2 linked regions of the Callithrix jacchus genome follow. The protein of the gene in region 1 interacts with the protein of each later gene in a pairwise test. Links are inferred from orthologs where the notes say so. Each region holds a gene or a part of one and is shown in the gene's direction. Other genes may lie near its edges.

Region 1 (4,141 bases):
AGTACTGTTGACTACAATATATTAATCTGAGTAACAAACAGTTCCCTGCTATTGCTGCTATTTTTTCCACCAAATTATGTCTTCAAATAAATACTGAAAGATATTTTGCACAGTTCATTTGTCACTTGCTCTATGAATCCATCTCTGGAAGAATTATTACTCCCTCTTTTGCATTCCCATGGTAGTCAGTCTCTTTTTTTTCTACCACTGTTGTTGAGTTTACCTCACTAGACTGTAATTTATGCACTTATTTAGTTCTCTCTCCCCACTGAGTATGTCCTTCTTCTAAGTGGGACCCCTGTTTTGTATCTCGAACACCTAACACAATGCCTGGCTTAGAGGTGGCTCTGGTTATTTGTCAAATGAATGGCATGCATGAATGTATTCCTGCATCCCCTTGCAAAGGACTGTGTTGAGCAGGAGCAAAGAAATTGCTCCTTTGAATTTCTAGCTCACTTATCTGATCTGTATCTCTTTGGTCACTTATTTTGTGTCCTATTTTATATATATTTGTATCTACACCTTGTCTAGTCCTACCACACTGGGAACTCCTTTAGGGTAAGATTTATGCCTGAATCACCTCTGTACCTGGAATCAAAGTGTCTAGTGCAGAAAAAGGTGCCAGGAATACGGAATAAATAAGACACCTACCTCGCAACCAGCAACATTGGCATCATTTATGCCTCCCAAACTTAAATCTGCATAAGTATTATCTTGTTAAGATGCAGATTCTGATTCAGTAGATCTGGTGTGATCCAGAGAGGCTGCATTTCCTAAAAGACCCCAGATTATGCCCAAGTAGCTACTCCACGGACCACACTTTGAGTATCAAGGTCATGGGAACAGTGGTTCTTGACCATAGCTGTATATGAGAATCATCTGGGACCATATTAAAAGTACTGATGTCTGGATCCCACCCGCAGAGAATCTGATTTAACTCATTTAAGCTCTCCAAAGTTTAAGTAGCAAAGATCTAGAGTTAATAGAGCTTTACATATGAAAAAAGGAAAACATTTAATCGAATTTCTTCTTAAGTGAATTGCTGCAAATATCTGAATAAATAACACTTTTAGAGAGAATAAATACTACACAGCATAAAATCCCCAACTCCCAAGTCAGTTTCTGTGCCAAAAGGCCCCGCCCCTGCCTTTCCCTAACTAGCCCCTCCAGTGAGGCCTTGCTCAGCCTGGCCACGCCCGTCGGCTGGCGCCCCGCCCCTCCGCGTCTATTGGCCACTCCTTTTCCCCCCCCCATTCGCATCTTTTTCCTTCTCTACGGGGTCAGCTTCCGGCGCGGAGTTTGTCACGTGCACGGATATAGGAAGTGTTGGGGGAACGGCCACTTCCCGTTCAAGGCTTTATTTAGGGGAACATCCTCGTGGCCCCCATCCGGTCTCCGTTTTGAAAGACCCGCCTCGGCAGAGCCGGGCTCAGTTCGGCCTTGCGGTAAGCCTTCGGCCACAGCTGCTCGGTAGTTCCGGCGGCGGCGGACAGACGAGCTGACAGACAGGCACCAGGGTCTAAGGCGGCTCCTCAGTCCCGCTGCTGTCTCCACGCCCGGGGTCTGACACCGCTCCCTCTGACCTTCCTTTCCCCGTTTGTCCCGGTAAGACGCAAAGTCTGGTCAGAGCATTCTCCAGCCCCTTGTCCTCGGGTCTGGGAGAATGCGGAGCTGGGAGGGCAGTCTTCATGGGCCCCATTACGGTTCCGCCTATCGGATCCAGATTTTGTTTGTGCAAAATGGCCCTGATCGTACGCTCTTTGGCGTGCCAGGAGAGGAGAGCGTGACAGTGCCTTCCCCTTTGTCCAAATCCACATTTCTCCCCGCCCCCCACATCTCTTAAGTGCATTACCCTATTTTCATGCACAGTTTTATCTTCTAGATTACAATACTTCATGCACTAATATGTCTCAGCAGCATACAGGACCCAGTGCACACGGGCACTCACACTGACCACAGTGTGGTGGTCCAACTGAGTTTAAGGAAACAACCAGTACAGAGTAAACAGTGGCCGGCTGCCTTTGGAACGTGGTCACACATGGGTTCTCAGACCTGGAAAATAATTTTAGAGGACTTCTAGGGATTTATTTACAGACTTGCTGAAAAGTACTGAAAAGACCGAAGTTAATCACTCGACTTGCAGAATGTAAATGCCATAGAAGCACGCGGCCTCAGGTCTTTATGAACATGTCTGTCATGTTGACCACTGTAACCCAGAGTAGTGTCTAGCATCTACTAAGCATCAGTATTTGCTGAATGAAGAGTCACATACTGCTTTTCATTATGCCTAACTTCTTTATGAGGTATGCTCTGTCCTCTCTTGTTTCGCCACTCACTGTACAATTCAGTTGTTGCTTTTAGCCAGAGCAGGAATATGGGTAAACGTTGGTCCGTATTAGTCATTCATTTGACTAGTTTTTACTATTCAGTTCTAATTCCCTTAAGAGATATAAGTATCCACTAAACACAAAACTATCATGAACATTCCTCCCTTCTTTCTCTTTAAGAGAATTCTTGAGATACAGAGGCTTATGATTTAATGAGCCCATTAGACAGCAAATGCTTGATTTGTTTAGCAAATGCAGTAAGTGCTGTAGAAATTTAGAGGAGAGATCAATTTGGATTATTGAATCAACTTCATGTAAACCATGGAGTGTAATTAGGGTTTGGATAGGGTGGAGAGGATATTCCTTACATGGAAAGCACCAAAGTGAAGATTTGACATCCAAAATGAACAGAGTGCTTGGGGTGGAAGGTTTGTTTTTGAGAACATTAGGAAAATGTTGAGTAAGAGCATGATGTAATACAAACTGTCTTTAAGATTATTTTGTTGTTGTTTAGGGTTGTGGGGCCATGCAGAGAGATAACCAGATTTTGTAGGGTTAAATAAAATTGATAGGAACCTGAGTTGGTATATTTACAGTGGGAAAAGAAAGGAATAAATTACATGTAGATGGGGGAAAATCAGAGTGTGATATCAGATTTCATCTTGACAACAGAAGAGGGAATCAAATATGGTGGATTTTGAACCTGGACATTTGCTTATAGGTGTGAAAGTTGGAAAGGGGGAATCTTGGAGGATCTATAGCTGTCATGTCAGTTAATTTAAACATTTACCAAATGCCTAATTTGCCAAGATCTAGGAATGCAAAGATGATTACGACATGGTACTGCTTTGAGTAGGGGATAAAATACAACTAACTAGAAAATACAATTCATAAATGCTGTTTTATTTATGATGGGAAATGTTAGAGAAGTAGAAAATATTCTCTGCGTGGGGAGGTGGCAGGGAGGGGCTACTTTACAAAAGAGATGACATTTTAGCACATTCTTGAGGGATGAATTTTAATTTCCCAGGGAGAAGAGAATTCTAAGAAAAGAAAATTGCATGAGCAAAAGCCCAGAGATAGAAAAGTAAACTGGCCAGTGTACAATGGGGCTTGGGCTTAGGAAGAAACAGAGTATCTAGGCCCTACAATATATTAAGGGATTAGCTGCATGGACACACTATAACAGACCAAAAGGAGGTTAGGATGGGTGAAGGTGTAGAGAGATGGAGAAGAAAGCAGTTGGGGATAATTGTGTTTCTATATTCTCTGCAAGGTAGGTTATTAAGTCATTTGCAGAGAGGAAGGAGGCTAATGCTAGAGTTGGGAACTGAAGAAGAATAATAGGGATTTGCAACAATAGTCCTGGGGAATAGGAAAGGATTCATCAAATGAAAGATTAATTGCTGAGCAGCACGGAAAGTCTAGCTTTCACCAGATGTAGGTATTTGTACTGCATGAAATGAGCATGGATATGTGGCTTTTTTTTTTTTTTTTTTTTAAAGTAGGAGTTTTGCTCTTGTTGCACCGGCTGTAGTGCAATGGTGCGATCTCGGGTCACTGCAACCTCCGCCTCTCAGGAGGCTGATGCTTCTGCCTCAGCGCGAGCCACCACGCCTGGCTAATTTTGTATTTTTAATAGAGAAGGGGTTTCTCCATGTTGGTCAGGCTGGTCTCGAACTCCCAACCTCAGGTGACCCACCCACCTTGGCCTCCCAAAGTGCTGGGATTACAGACGTGAGCCACTGCGCCAGGCGAATATGTGGCTTTTTAAAGTGGCGTCTGGTAATCCAAGAGAAGTGAAGAAAAAATAC
Region 2 (4,021 bases), on another chromosome or scaffold:
CTACAGCCTGGGCGACGGTGCGAGACTCCACCTCAAAAAAAAAAAAAAAATTCTGTATATAGTTTGTTTTGTTTCTGACAGATGCAAATGCACCCTTCTAATGATTAAAGACATCTTTGTTTAATCTACCAATGAAATAATCTGACAATTTATGTAACAAATAAATTCCTATAAACATAAGCTCCCCTGCCCCTCTGCGGTGGCACAATCTCTGATTTGTTATCCTGGCTGCAACCTTCATTGCTGAATAAACGCTTATGTAAACCTTAATGATGAGATTCGAGCAGTATGAATAAACATTGGGTTATTTGGGTGCAAAGATTGAGGATGGCGACCTGGTAGGACGCAGACTCCAAAAGATGGAGGTCAGTGCTTCGAAATGGAGAAGTTTGAGGGTCGTTTATATAGGCAAGGTCTGGGAAGCTTAATAGGATGTCAACATTTTCCATAGATTAACGCATAGTTAGAGCAATTTGATTGGTTTTAGGCAGTGTTTCTTTTTGGGAAGGGTCTATTTAACATTCCACATTAAGGATGTAATAGTCAAGGGGTGGTTTATCCTTTTCAAGGCGAATTTTATCTCAAATGCCATCTGGTCTGAGCTGGGAACAAGAAAGTAAGGGAGTTAATCCATAACAAAAGGTCGGCAATTAAGAGGTCGTGCTTCGTGATCCGGTCTCCAAAGTCAGCCTTCCTCAGGGACTCCCAGAATCCCCAAATAGACTATCCACTTTCTTTCACACTTATTTGCCTCTGACCTGTTGATTCCTCCTTTTTTTCTTTTTCTTTTTATTAAGGGTTGACAATCTTTTGAGTGCACGCCGACTTTCTTCCATGCGCTTTACAGAAAAAATTCTCCTGAGGCCAGCAGCCACAGTACGTCTCAGGAACTTGTTAGAAATGCAAATGTTCAGCCCCACCCCAAATCTACTGAGTCAGCAGTTTTGCAGGTGCTTCTCAATCCCTCTTTAACATGCCCTCTGGGTGATTCGGGTGCGCGTGAAAGATAGATCTCTGCGCGAGATTACCGCGCCGAGCAGGTAAAAGCGCTCTGCAAGCTCCGGTGCTATCTGCAGGCCGGGCCGCCGCTCCTCTGGGTGGCACTAGGACCGCGGCAGCCCGGCCCTCGCAGCCACCGCCTCCGGCACGAGGCGGAGCCCAGCTGTTCCTGGATCCCGGGCCTGGCTCCTCGACCCGCCCCTGGAGGCGGACCCCACTTGACTTAAACTCTGGGGCCCGGGAGGCTGTCGGTTTTCTCCCTGCTTGGCGGGGTGGTCCTCTTCCCTGGTTGGTAAGTGTGAGGCGAGCACCCCGAGGTCCCCTCTTCGCCTTCTGGGACCCGGGTGGGGCGGGGGCCGGGAGCCCGAGGCGCTCGCGGCTGGGGCCGGCCCGCGGCGCAGAGCGCTTTTGTTCTGCTGCGAGGACGCAGTCGCGGGCGGCCCCGGAAGCCGGGCCTCTGGCCCCACCGGCTCGCGTGCCCGGCGGTCCGCAGCCCGGAGCTGGGCCGGGCCGCCGCGCTCGCTTCTGCCCGCCGCGCCGGGGCCAGCCTTGGGCCTCCGCGGACGCCGAGCCTTGCACCGGAGGGCGGGCCTCGCTGGCTGTTTTCCCTCATTGCCTGGCTCTGCGCGGTAGAGGTCGCGAGTGGCGAGGGCGAAGACGCGTTTTGTTGAACTGAGAAGCGGTTGGCTAGGCGGGTGGGTGTGAGAGCTGCTTATGTTTTTAAGGCTTTCCTGTCGCTGGAGTGAAAAAGAAAATATTTGTTTTGCTATTTCCGAGCGTTCTCCTCCCCGACCCTCTTAACCCGAGGCCTCCTGGCACGGAATTGCTCTACTCGCATCTCCAAGTGGTCCGCGAACGCTTCTGTGCCGGAGATGCTTTCTGTTCCTCAGCAAGAGTTCCTTCGGGCATTTTTAAATGCACAAATGCATACCATCTTAGGTGTTCTCGAGGGATACGGATTCCCTAAGCGAACATCCTTAGGGTCCTGAGTTTGGCAGCAAACTTTCGGGGAATCATTTCCGTGAAAACAGTTTTATTTGTAGTACATCGAGTGCAGACCGTCTTAAGACAGGGATGTGTATGAGCTTGAGGCGCATTTTCATTTTGCGGGGAGGGGAGTCGGGTGCATTTCAAGGCGGGTTTCAGAGCTTGTTTGGGGATTGTCTTTTTCTGCTAAATGTGTTAGCTTTAATCATGTTTCACTGTCATGTATGTTAAGGTTTTAGTTTTTTTCCCCTCTGTGCAGTCTGATTTTTTCTGTTTAATACCAAATCCAATAAAGACAACTGCAGAGAGAAAGTGTTGTTTTGAAGCGATAATACGATAGCGGACCTAGAGGAGCGCACATAAATTCTATCTTAAGTGAACGGTATTTTCAGGCCAGAACTAATAAGAATTCAGCTCAAAAAAAGATAAATAAATAAATTAATAAAATAAAAATAAGAATTCAGTAAACTTAGCATGCTTTCAGTGCAGCCTTAAAGGAAAGTTTTGCACAGCAATGTCATATCAGTAAACACATTAGCATATACTCTTAATTATAAAACGTTTCTTGATGTCCCTAGGACCAAAGAAGTAAATACAGGGTGGAGGGAGACTGACATGTTTGGCGGGAAATGGGAACGAGCATACACAATAATTAAAGAGCAAAGTTGTGCTTAAGGGTAAGTATGTCACCTCTAAGAAACCCACCCCGATTTAACCAGGCAGTTACTCACACTTAACTGTGGAGTAGTTTTATGGGATAAAATTTTATGGAACAAAATTACTATCGGTGAATCCACATTGGTTAAAAATTAAACTGTGGGACGCAGTGGATTTGACGACAAAGCTTGAAGAAATTATGTTGTTGGCATGGTGCTGAGAAATCAGTTGTTAATCTTAGCAAAATAAGGAAGAGGTCTGTGGTAAGGTTAGCTGTGGTGGAGGTTACCCGGGCAGAGGTCTGCTTCTGTTTGTGCTGTGTTTCTTAATTTGATTGTTCTTATTTATTACTGTTTGTGGCACATAGGGGAATGTGGCTCAGAGCACCACTCTGGAAGGATGCTTCGGTACAGCCAAAGTGGTCATGTTCCGGGCTTTCATCCTGTAACCACAAAATGTGTTAGGAAGTCTCACCTCATGACTTAAGACCATGGTCCCTGTAACACTGCTTTGGTTCAGATCTTGGCTCTAGCACTCAGCGCCCAGTATCTGTACAATCTTGGGAAAATAAACGTTTGTTTTCTCATCTATAAAATGGGGGCAAGCACTCCTGTCATGGGATTATTGTGGTAGAGTTACATGAGTTTCATGCATATCACACTTAAACAGCTTCTGACACATGTTAAGTGCCCAATAAATGTTAGCTATTGTCATGTGAGAGGAAATAGGTTTTGTGGCCTGGGACATGTAACACTGGCTTAGCACACATTCAGTTGGTTCATTTAAGCCCTAAATTCGTGAGCTTTCTGTTATTAAGCCCATCAGTGTAGATCCTCTTAGATTCTCTTTTTTGTAGGTCCTGTTTTTTTAGGAAGTACTGTCACTACTGGTCCACTTCTGGATTTACATGCAGGCTTGTTTGAAATAAAAAATGCCTCCATGGCTGGGCATAGGTGGCTCATGCCTATAATCCCAGCACTTTGGGAGGCCGAGGCGGGTGGATCACGAGGTCAAGGGATCGAGACCATCCTGGTCAACATGGTGAAACCCTGTCTCTACTAAAAACACAAAAATTAGCTGGGCATGGTGGCACACACCTGTAGTCCCAGCTACTCAGGAGGCTGAGGCAGGAGAATTGCTTGAACCCAGGAGGCGGAGGTTGCGGTGAGCCAAGATCGCGCCATTGCACTCCAGTCTGGATAACAGCGAAACTCTGTCTCAAAAAAAAAAAAATGCGTCCACTGAATTCCTAGGCAGGGCAAACTTGGCCCGAAGCTTCATTCTTAAACATTATCTCTGTGATTGTACTGGAATCTCTCTTCATTTCTAGATGATCAGTGTTTTGGACATAGTTGGAGCTCGAATGCTTAGGGAATTG

Evidence for each region.
Region 2: the proteins of EXOC1 (region 1) and RESF1 interact in a two-hybrid assay, tested with the Homo sapiens proteins (2 studies listed by BioGRID and IntAct). The link is inferred for Callithrix jacchus from reciprocal best matches to the Homo sapiens genes EXOC1 and RESF1.

What each region holds. Positions count from the first base shown.
Region 1 is NC_133504.1:140,906,467-140,910,607, reverse strand, and holds the start of EXOC1 (exocyst complex component 1), read left to right. Parts: upstream 1-1,325; 5' UTR 1,326-1,445; exon of another isoform or gene 1,446-1,605; intron 1,606-4,141.
Region 2 is NC_133510.1:39,568,022-39,572,042, reverse strand, and holds the start of RESF1 (retroelement silencing factor 1), read left to right. Parts: upstream 1-1,215; 5' UTR 1,216-1,291; intron 1,292-2,564; exon of another isoform or gene 2,565-2,663; intron 2,664-4,021. UniProt on the Homo sapiens protein: Plays a role in the regulation of imprinted gene expression, regulates repressive epigenetic modifications associated with SETDB1.